Kluyveromyces lactis: one gene and its partner. The protein of the gene in region 1 purifies or fractionates together with the protein of each later gene. This does not show direct contact. Links are inferred from orthologs where the notes say so. Each region holds a gene or a part of one and is shown on either strand. Other genes may lie near its edges.

Region 1 (4,384 bases):
TTTACTTATTAATCGGGGCAGTATACGTAATACGTTATAGTGTAATACGAGATCTCATGACTGAGGGACGAGTAGTTTTAATATAATGAAAATTCTGAACAGTATTACTGAACCTATGACTCTTCGAAAAATATAGGTTTGTAACGAATGTTTGCCAGCAATAATTTCTCAACAATGTTATTGCGAACACAGCATGTTTTCTACCTAGTGTTATTGACTGCTGGTCTATAGTGCTTTTGAACCAATTTGTATTAGTATTACATCAATTAACGTTGAAAAGTCTATCTAGCATACTCAAAGTGTACCTATTTTTCATATTTACTGTATGCAAAACCCATCCGGCAAGCATATGATCAGCTCAGAGAAATCCTTCAATATCTGGTTTCTGGGCTTGGGCAAGCTTAGCCCTTTTGGTTGTCTGCGGTTGAGATTGAGATAACGACACTGAATGTATTCTTTTCAATCCTGTAGTCGAGTTCATCTCAACGACAGAATCTAATTCCTCGATATTTTGCGAGTTGGCATCTATGTTACTGGAAGAGGACTGGTTTATATTAGATTTGGCATGTTGTGATGATCTAGACTTCATAAATTCCATAAACTTAGGGACTAAAGCTAACTCCTCCTGTGTCTGTTTATGTAGAAGTGTCTTGTTTGTTTTCTCATTGGTATCCAGCTTCCCCTCGTGGAACAAACCAGTGGTATCATTGAACTCAAGCTGGAAAGAAACAGTGACATCATTGATTTTATCCCATATAATTTGGATTTCATCGCCATCATGAAGTAAGATCTTTGTGCCCGGAGTGATTTTCTTTCCATTAACATAGCTTGAGTTAGTACCACTTTGGCAATACCATACATCATCAAGACCTTGAGCTGGAGATTCATAAATACTGTCACCGACAGCGTGTCTTTTCTTCAATATGAAGCAATGTATCCTAGATAAACGATTATCATCAATTTTACAGTTGCATTCGTCTGACCTACCGATGAAGAATGGATTTATCCCTTGTTTTACTTGGACCTTACCTGAAATAGATGAGCCAGGTAAGGAATGCAAAGTGAGAAATAGCCCCTCCCCATTGACCTTTGTAAGTGGTCTATTGATCTTTTTGTTCTTATTGTTTGAAAGTCCTTCTTCACCAGATTTATAATTAACATTAATAGCTTTACCAGTATTAGGATTTGAAAAGTTAAACTGCAAGTTTTGGGATTGTGCAATTTTAGATGGTGCAATTTGTGGTTTTTTGAATACAGGCTCTTTATTAGTTTCTGCAGCAGGCGCCGTTATTTCTTTCTTGATAATCTCTAACCTCTTTTTCGCAATGTATGATTCGTATTCAGCCTCATTCATACTGTCAACAAATTGTTGCTGGGACAAGGATTGTGAGATGGATATTTGTGACTGCATGCTATCAACGTATGCCATTTTCATCCATGGATGTTGCAGGGCCTTTCCTGCGTTCATTCTTTCTTTAGGGTCCACATTCAACAGGCAATCTATGAAGTTTCTTGCCTCTTCGGATATTCTATAATCCTTTAATGGTCCTTCATGATAAGAGCCCCGTTTTATTTGCTTGAACAATTCATTCTGAGACTGACCACTAAAAGGCAAGTGACCTGTAAGAATAACGTAAACTAGGCATCCAATTGACCACATATCAACAAGTGAGGAATACAGATCTCGATTAGTTTTATCTTCAGCATTTTTCCCGTCTATAACTTCAGGTGCAACATATGCTAGAGTACCACAAAAAGTGTTCAGGAATGTATTCTGATTTTGTACTTTTGCCAGGCCAAAATCGGTTATCTTTATAAGAACTGGATCGTCTTGCTCTATCATTATATTATCAGGTTTCAAGTCTCGATGGCTAATTCCTTGATCATGCATGTATTTTACTGCCTCTAAAACCTGTCGTGTTATCTCTCTGCCGGCATCCTCGCCTACAGTTCCATGGGCTGCTACGAAATCCATTAAATCGCCTCCGCTGACAAACTCCATCAACATGTAATAATTATCATTGTCTTCAAAAAAGTCCTTAAGTTTAACTATCCTGGGGTGATTTAATTTCTGCAATACATCTAGTTCCCTCTTCACTCCATCAAATTTATCCATTACTTTTCTCTTATGAATTATTTTGACCGCAAATGTTTTGCCTGTTGACCTTTCGACAGCTTTCTTCACAGTAGCGAAAGCACCTTGACCAACAATCGAATCTGATATCGAATAGTATTTGTGTATTCCTTTTAATTCTGTATGTCCCATTGATATCTGATATTTGCTCTTTGAAGATGAAGCAGGTGAAGTCACATCCTTCATCATATTGAGTTCTTTTAGTCTATTTTTGAAACTATCGTTGATGAAAATCACTAAACTAACGACATCGCTGGGAACGCCGACTCCAACACTTATTTCATCCCCTTGGGTCAAGATGTGATTCGTATCCTTTTGTATCCTCGCTCCATTTAACCATGTTCCATTGGTTGATGTATCCTTCAGCATTAAAGTTCCTTCTTCACCCAGCATTAGCATAAAGTGTCTGTTGGACAGTCTTGAAATATCCCCCAGATAATAATCACATCCTTGGTTTCTTCCAAAGGTCCATGTTTTTTTAATTGATGATTCCTTTTTGAATATACTTTCAGGTTGAACCTTCAAGTCCCGTAGACTTATTTGACCAGTTGTACATATTACTCTGCACACCACATCGTCGTCTATTTTCTCCTGAGAAAACTTATCTATTAGGTACTTCTGTGTAGCCTGAGTGGCTTGTTGTGTCGGTTGCGTTATATCATCCATGTCAATATCTTCGTTTGCACAGCAATGATCAGTTGATCTCTAAAGAGGCTGGGAAAGGTAACGGCAAACCTCAAAGGGACAACTTAATGCCTCAATATAGAACGATTTTCACAAGTGTGCTATTCTATAGTCGGTTGTGACTGTGTATACCCACTAAACTGCCAACACAAAGCTAATGAATAATGGAATAAATCGTTCTTTCATAATGTGTATGATCGCTTTTGCAATTCAAAGATCCAGATTATTTCAGAAAAATGTCAACCTTTAAATCGCGTAAATATTCGATGAACATTAAATATTACAATGACGCGTAAAAGTACATACATATATACAAAGCCAATGATCAAAGATGGATCAGTCTTTACTCGGCACTGCTACAACGTTGGAGTGGGAATTTGAGTAAATAGAACGGAATCATTGATAGAAGTTCTATTATGGCACATTGCGGCATCAGGTGATTGGTGCCGAATCTTCTTCAGAACTATGTGAAGCCGGTTTATACTGCAACAATCCATATGGCATCAATTAGTAAATACCATGGTTGAATAACTTGTATCAGCTGTTTCTTATTCTAACTCCAGTCATGCTACAAAGACTTTAAAATCTTTACTTATCAATAGATGGAAGTAAAGATTATAAATCGATATGGTTGCTATCAAGCATAACACTCCGAATTTTCAGAAATTCTTTGCATTTTGCTCATATAACGTTATTGTATTTGAACTGTTAGAGCCTTTTCTTGAAAAAACTAGGTTCTATTCATGTTTAAAACATTCGTTAAGACAATTCCCCATAACCGATTGAAGAAATGATATATATAAGTTTTCGTTTTATTAATACTGCAATAATGTCCTTCAACGAGATAGCTATGTAGTAAAATTATATATCAGCTTTGATCTACTGGTGAAGGTTCAAATCATACCGTCAACTTTAACCGTAATGTTACGGTAAATAACAAAATCGTAAATTATTAATCTCACATACCTCCATAACGTTATGTTAAGTTTCTTACCATTCTATCTGCTAATTAAATGACCTGTTCCCAGAATCAGGACTGGATAAAAAGTCTACTACATCCGTTAGTTTTTCCCAAGGAAACCCTTTAAATACAAGAGCCGGGCTCAGTAGTCTTTCGCGTCAGATTTTGAAGTCTATTTATATTTACTACTAGTTCATAAATTGGACATTGTATAGGAAAGATGCATTCCTCTACATAATATTTTTGTTAAATTAACTACCCATCATTACTTCCCTAAAACCATGTAAACTGATAGGTATGGTGCATACCAGTACAATTGGCAACAGCTTGCAACGTTAAGATTCAGTGATCTCAATTAAATTACGATTTTGACAGTTTTATTTTAAGGGAAAAAGTTGCTTTAAAACAGGAAAACGACATCAGGCAATGTTTTGCCTCAGTAAACAAAGATACAATTAATCGACAAAAGCTGGGCAGGTTCATTTTTTGTTGAACTTGAACGTCTAATATCATTTACTTCTGAGAATAGACGTAAATATCAGCTTATCTGTTTTACTTTGAGAAGGTTCGCTGCTAGGTAATTAAAGTTACTTCGAGGCTTGGAA
Region 2 (4,592 bases), on another chromosome or scaffold:
CTCCTCTTCTGTTAAAAGTCTGCCATTCTCATCTATTTCCTGTGAGGTTTCGACGACAGGTAATTTTGGAAGTGGCTTCTTCCTTTTCCTCGATTCAATGTATTGAGTCGGTTTCATCTTAATAAGATCAGCTACGGTTTTGAAATACATAAACCTTTGATGAGGGGAGGGTTCGTTAATGTTCACTATGTTGGGCCCAAAGGAAAACATTGCAAGTGGACCGTCCTCAATTTCAGCGCGAGATAAGCCGTCAGCGATAGCTAGTAAAACCACGTTTTCATTACTCTGCAATGATCTGAAAAGAGTGGTTAAAGTGATGAGACAACTTTGGGGACAGGCTTGGAGCCATAATTCTAAGTTTGGTATGCAAATTACAGAGGGTTGACGCTTCTTAGCCTCCGCGAATGTTTGTACAAGTGCTGCTTCCATCGTTCTACTACTCTCCGATACCAAGGTAGGAATGTCAAGCATTTGAATATTGTAATCTTCCAAAAAGTGTAGTGTGGCGGAAGCGATATATTGTAACCCGTTACCGGGCGGGCCTGTGATCAAAAGTTTCGGTTTGCAGACACGAGATTTCTTGATAAGTTTTAAAAATTCATGCTTATCGAATCCAGTACCTTCTTCGTCATCAGAATCCTCAAGATCCTCATTTTCTAAGTAATATTGAATAATGGAGGAACCCGATTTCAATTTTGTGCTTTGCTTGGGTAGTAGTAAGTTGAGCTGATCCTTGACGTTAATAAATTGTTGAGCGAGGAGCGGTTCAACATATTTTGGTAAAGGCTGCGCTGTAGAGCCAGTAGCTCTAGCAGATGATGGTACAATCTTTTCTAGTGCAAGCATGAAGTCTCTAGCCTTGACTCTAACTGATTTAGGATCAATCTTTAGCTTTTCTTCACTTTTATAGATTTGTGGAAACTTTCTTTGGATACTGATCAAAGATGCTTCTGTACAAAGTGCTCTTAAGTCAGCACCACCGTATCCTTTAGTTAAGGAGGCTAGCTTTGAAATAAATTGATCTGAAATAGGTGGATTCCATTTCTTGGTGTGAATATGCAAAATTTTATCTCTAGCCTTCAAGTCTGGTAGAGGGAAATAGAACTCACGGTCAAATCTACCTGGTCTTCTTAAAGCAGGATCCACTGCATCTGGTCTATTCGTAGCACCGATTATAATAATCTGACCTCTATTATCCATACCATCCATCAATGCCAACATTGTCGACACGATACTGGCATGGATTTGTTCCTGTTTGGAAGATCTAACTGGAGCCAACCCATCAATTTCATCAAAGAAAATGATTGCCGGTTGATGTTTCTTTGCTTCTTCAAACAATAACCTTAATTGTCTTTCAGCTTCACCAACCCATTTGGAAAGAATGTCAGCACCCTTCCTCATGAAGAAAGTGATCTTTCTCTTCTCATTTGAGCAACTTGCGGCCAATGCTCTAGCCATCAAAGTCTTACCTGTACCTGGTGGGCCATGGAACAAGACACCACGAGGTGGAGTAATATTGAAGTTTTGATAAAGTTCTGGGTACAACAATGGCAATGCCACCATCTCCTTTAATTGGTCAATGTAGTTATCTAGACCACCGACATCATCAAAATTAATGTTCATATCGACACCAAGTGGGTCCAAATCTGCAATTTCCGGTTTCTTTTTCTTCTTTTGTTTTGATGGATCCTTTGGTTTCGGTTTCATACCCAAAGCTAAGATTTCGTCATCGGATGAATCAGAATCCAAAAATTTGTTTGACTGTTCGTTTAGAGCGTTTGGATTAGAGTTGTAGAATTGAACGTTTTTACCAAATATCGCCGTAACATCGTTTCCACCAAATGGACCACCGGTAGGGAATAACCTTCTAATAGGTCCAAAACTTTGACCCGAATGTAAACCACGTTTACCTCTTGGGGACTGATAAACGGATGATTGGTATGGAAGTGTTCCTGGAGGTATTCCTGGCACCGAAGTAGCTTCCATAGCACCAATTTGATTTTCAGACAAAGGTGGTGGGATCGTGTAATTTACTGGTTTTGTACGTTCTCTCAAAGACCTTTTCTCTCTGATAGGACTGTCCTCCTGTAATTCTCTAATTTCGTCCTCAAGTGTAAGCGCTTCTCTAGTACGTGCACTTGCCGATCTATGACGACCGCTACCTACCGTATCATCGTCGTCTTCATCGTCATCTACAACACGAGACGATCTGGTTCTATGCGGCCTTAACTTCCGAGGAGGCTGTTCCCTACGCGTACTTCTTGCTGCAGACCGTTTTGGTCTTCTTCCACGTCTCACAGTACCATCGTCATCCTCTTCATCCTCATCTCCATCATCTTCATCTTCATCCAGATCCTCTTCCTTGATACTATAATCTTCATTCCCATCAGATCCATCCTCATCGTCCTTGACAATGAAATTTTTATCTCTTCTTCTCGCTATCCGTTTGCGATCATCTGCTGGGTCGATATACTCATCGCCGTCATCAACATCGTCGTCGTCATCGTCATCATCGTCTACATCTTCCTCGTGGAACGAAACGTCATCATCGTCGTCATCATCACGAACCCTCTTGTTCCTCTGACCGGGACGCCTACCACGACGCCTACCAGTACCGGTATCTGAATAGTTAGCACCAACGGCGGCTGTTCCTCCAGAATTCGTATCAGATTCCTCGATATAATCGTAACCATTCTCAATCTCTGCGTAGTTAACTTTTTTCAGCAGCCTCGGTGTGGTATGAGCAATCCCATTATCATCGTAAAACTCAGTATGAGTGCCAGATTCATCGTCACCGCTCTTGCTATGGAGCGTCATTTTGATTCCTTTGATCTAAACTTCTAAAAGGCTTTTCTTATTTTGCAGTTTCGGAACTGTAGAAATCAAAAAGAATGCGACAGAGACACACAAAATTCACCCCACAAAGTCTCTGATTTAATGAATAACAATCGAACCTAACCCAATTGGCTTGTCTAATGGCCCAAAACGCCAATTTGATCCTTAAAAGCTGTGTTTAATGCCGTATATTATCGTTATAAATCTCTGAACACAACTTAAACTGGTTCTGGGAGCTTTTTGGTTTTGTTTATTTAGAGGTATATTCAGGTAGGGTAATCGACATATTTTGGACAGGGTAACCATTCCCGAATACAGCTCATATATATATAGATACACACACTCACACATCACACAGGAAGCACTGACACACCAGCTATACGGTCTAGGACTGGTGCAATGGTAGGGTGAGACAGTACTGGTCCGATTATAGGAATGGACCTCAGCAATTGGAGGATCACGCCGAAAAAGTCGCCGAATAGACCGACTATACCTAACGATTCGATGATGAACCCAAGGAACGTCCACTTACATAAGATCATGAATATCCCAAACACGAGAAACAAGGTCCCACGTCTCTTTGTCGGTCTAGTGAAGAATTTGAGAGTCTTGTGTGGGCCTATCATCAGCAGCACGCCGAGTAGGAACAAGATGTTCCCAACAGCCAATAGTGCTCTATCGAAGAAGGTGAAGATACCAAAAAGGAAGAACAAACATCCACCGAACGTGAACACAGCACCGAATTCTGGGGAGATAAGTGGGATTTCAAGATTTTGGCAAGTACTGTAACAAAAGTGAGATAGAAAGACGGATTGAACAATCCGTCTTTCTATTTCCCTTATGTTCGCATGAGTTTACTGGCCGATCTCAAATAACAAATGTTAGTAAAGGGAAACCAAAAATAATAGTAAACGCATACATGGTTTAACATACGCTGTGACTCCGATAGCCAACTACTCATTGTTATGTGCTATTGTTGCGTGTATATCAAATACTATGAGCATATATAGAGAGGCAAACAGTGCCTATCTTGATGCGTTAATGTGCACATATTTACTGCGCTCGTCCAGAAGCCCATCGCTTTTCGCGATTGGGCTTCTGGACTGAAAAGACGTGAAGTGTTACCCGGTCATTGTGTTTTCCGGGTAACGAAAATCGTTCGAGGCTTTGAATCAGCAAATTTACCGGCCGTTGCTATTAAGTCCAATGGTTTATACCCTTGAAGCCACCATTACTATACACCATTTAGGGTTCCTTTTTCCACCTTAGAGCCGTGGATTTGCATGTTATTGCGTGGATATGATGGTTCACTCATCTGCTAGACGAGTCATGGATATATAAGACACGCATAAGCCAGATGTCTAACTAGATGCATGGAAGAAAGGTTGGAAGGAGCCGTTGGCTGTTAGGCACGTGACCCAACATTCTATAATGGCAGCGTCAGTTAAACAATCAGGTATTCTTCCGTCGTATGACGAAGCAGTCGGACAAGGTTCGTCTACCGGTGCTTCTCGGCATCAAGAGGCATCAAATGATGAACCAAATGATGAACCAAATGACGAATCAAATGATGCGTCCAATGATATACCAAATAATGCCACCAATTCCACCACTACCAGTAGCTGCAATACCGGTACTGATATCGACCAGCTTCCCTGGACGTATCCTCCATGGTATTACTGTAGAAGGTGCGGGAACACCGGTGTAGAGACCAGGACGCAACGCAGGTGTAGAACATGTTGGTCAAGATTCAATAG

What was found.
Region 2: the proteins of RAD53 (region 1) and YTA7 purify together in Saccharomyces cerevisiae (affinity purification with mass spectrometry, with the first as the bait; 3 studies listed by BioGRID). This does not show direct contact. The link is inferred for Kluyveromyces lactis from reciprocal best matches to the Saccharomyces cerevisiae genes RAD53 and YTA7.

Annotation. Positions count from the first base shown.
Region 1 is NC_006042.1:1,025,771-1,030,154, forward strand, and holds RAD53 (serine/threonine/tyrosine protein kinase RAD53), read right to left. Parts: upstream 2,801-4,384; coding exon 359-2,800; downstream 1-358. Other genes in the region: DNA replication protein SLD5, read left to right, coding at 1-86. UniProt on the Saccharomyces cerevisiae protein: Controls S-phase checkpoint as well as G1 and G2 DNA damage checkpoints. Phosphorylates proteins on serine, threonine, and tyrosine. Prevents entry into anaphase and mitotic exit after DNA damage via regulation of the Polo kinase CDC5.
Region 2 is NC_006037.1:856,683-861,274, reverse strand, and holds the start of YTA7 (chromatin segregase YTA7), read right to left. Parts: upstream 2,818-4,592; coding exon 1-2,817. Other genes in the region: GOT1 (Got1p), read right to left, coding at 3,186-3,580, 3,769-3,796; KLLA0_A09779g (uncharacterized protein), read left to right, coding at 4,267-4,592. UniProt on the Saccharomyces cerevisiae protein: Functions as an ATP-dependent nucleosome disassembly factor that helps evict canonical histone H3 from the 5'-end of genes upon their induction.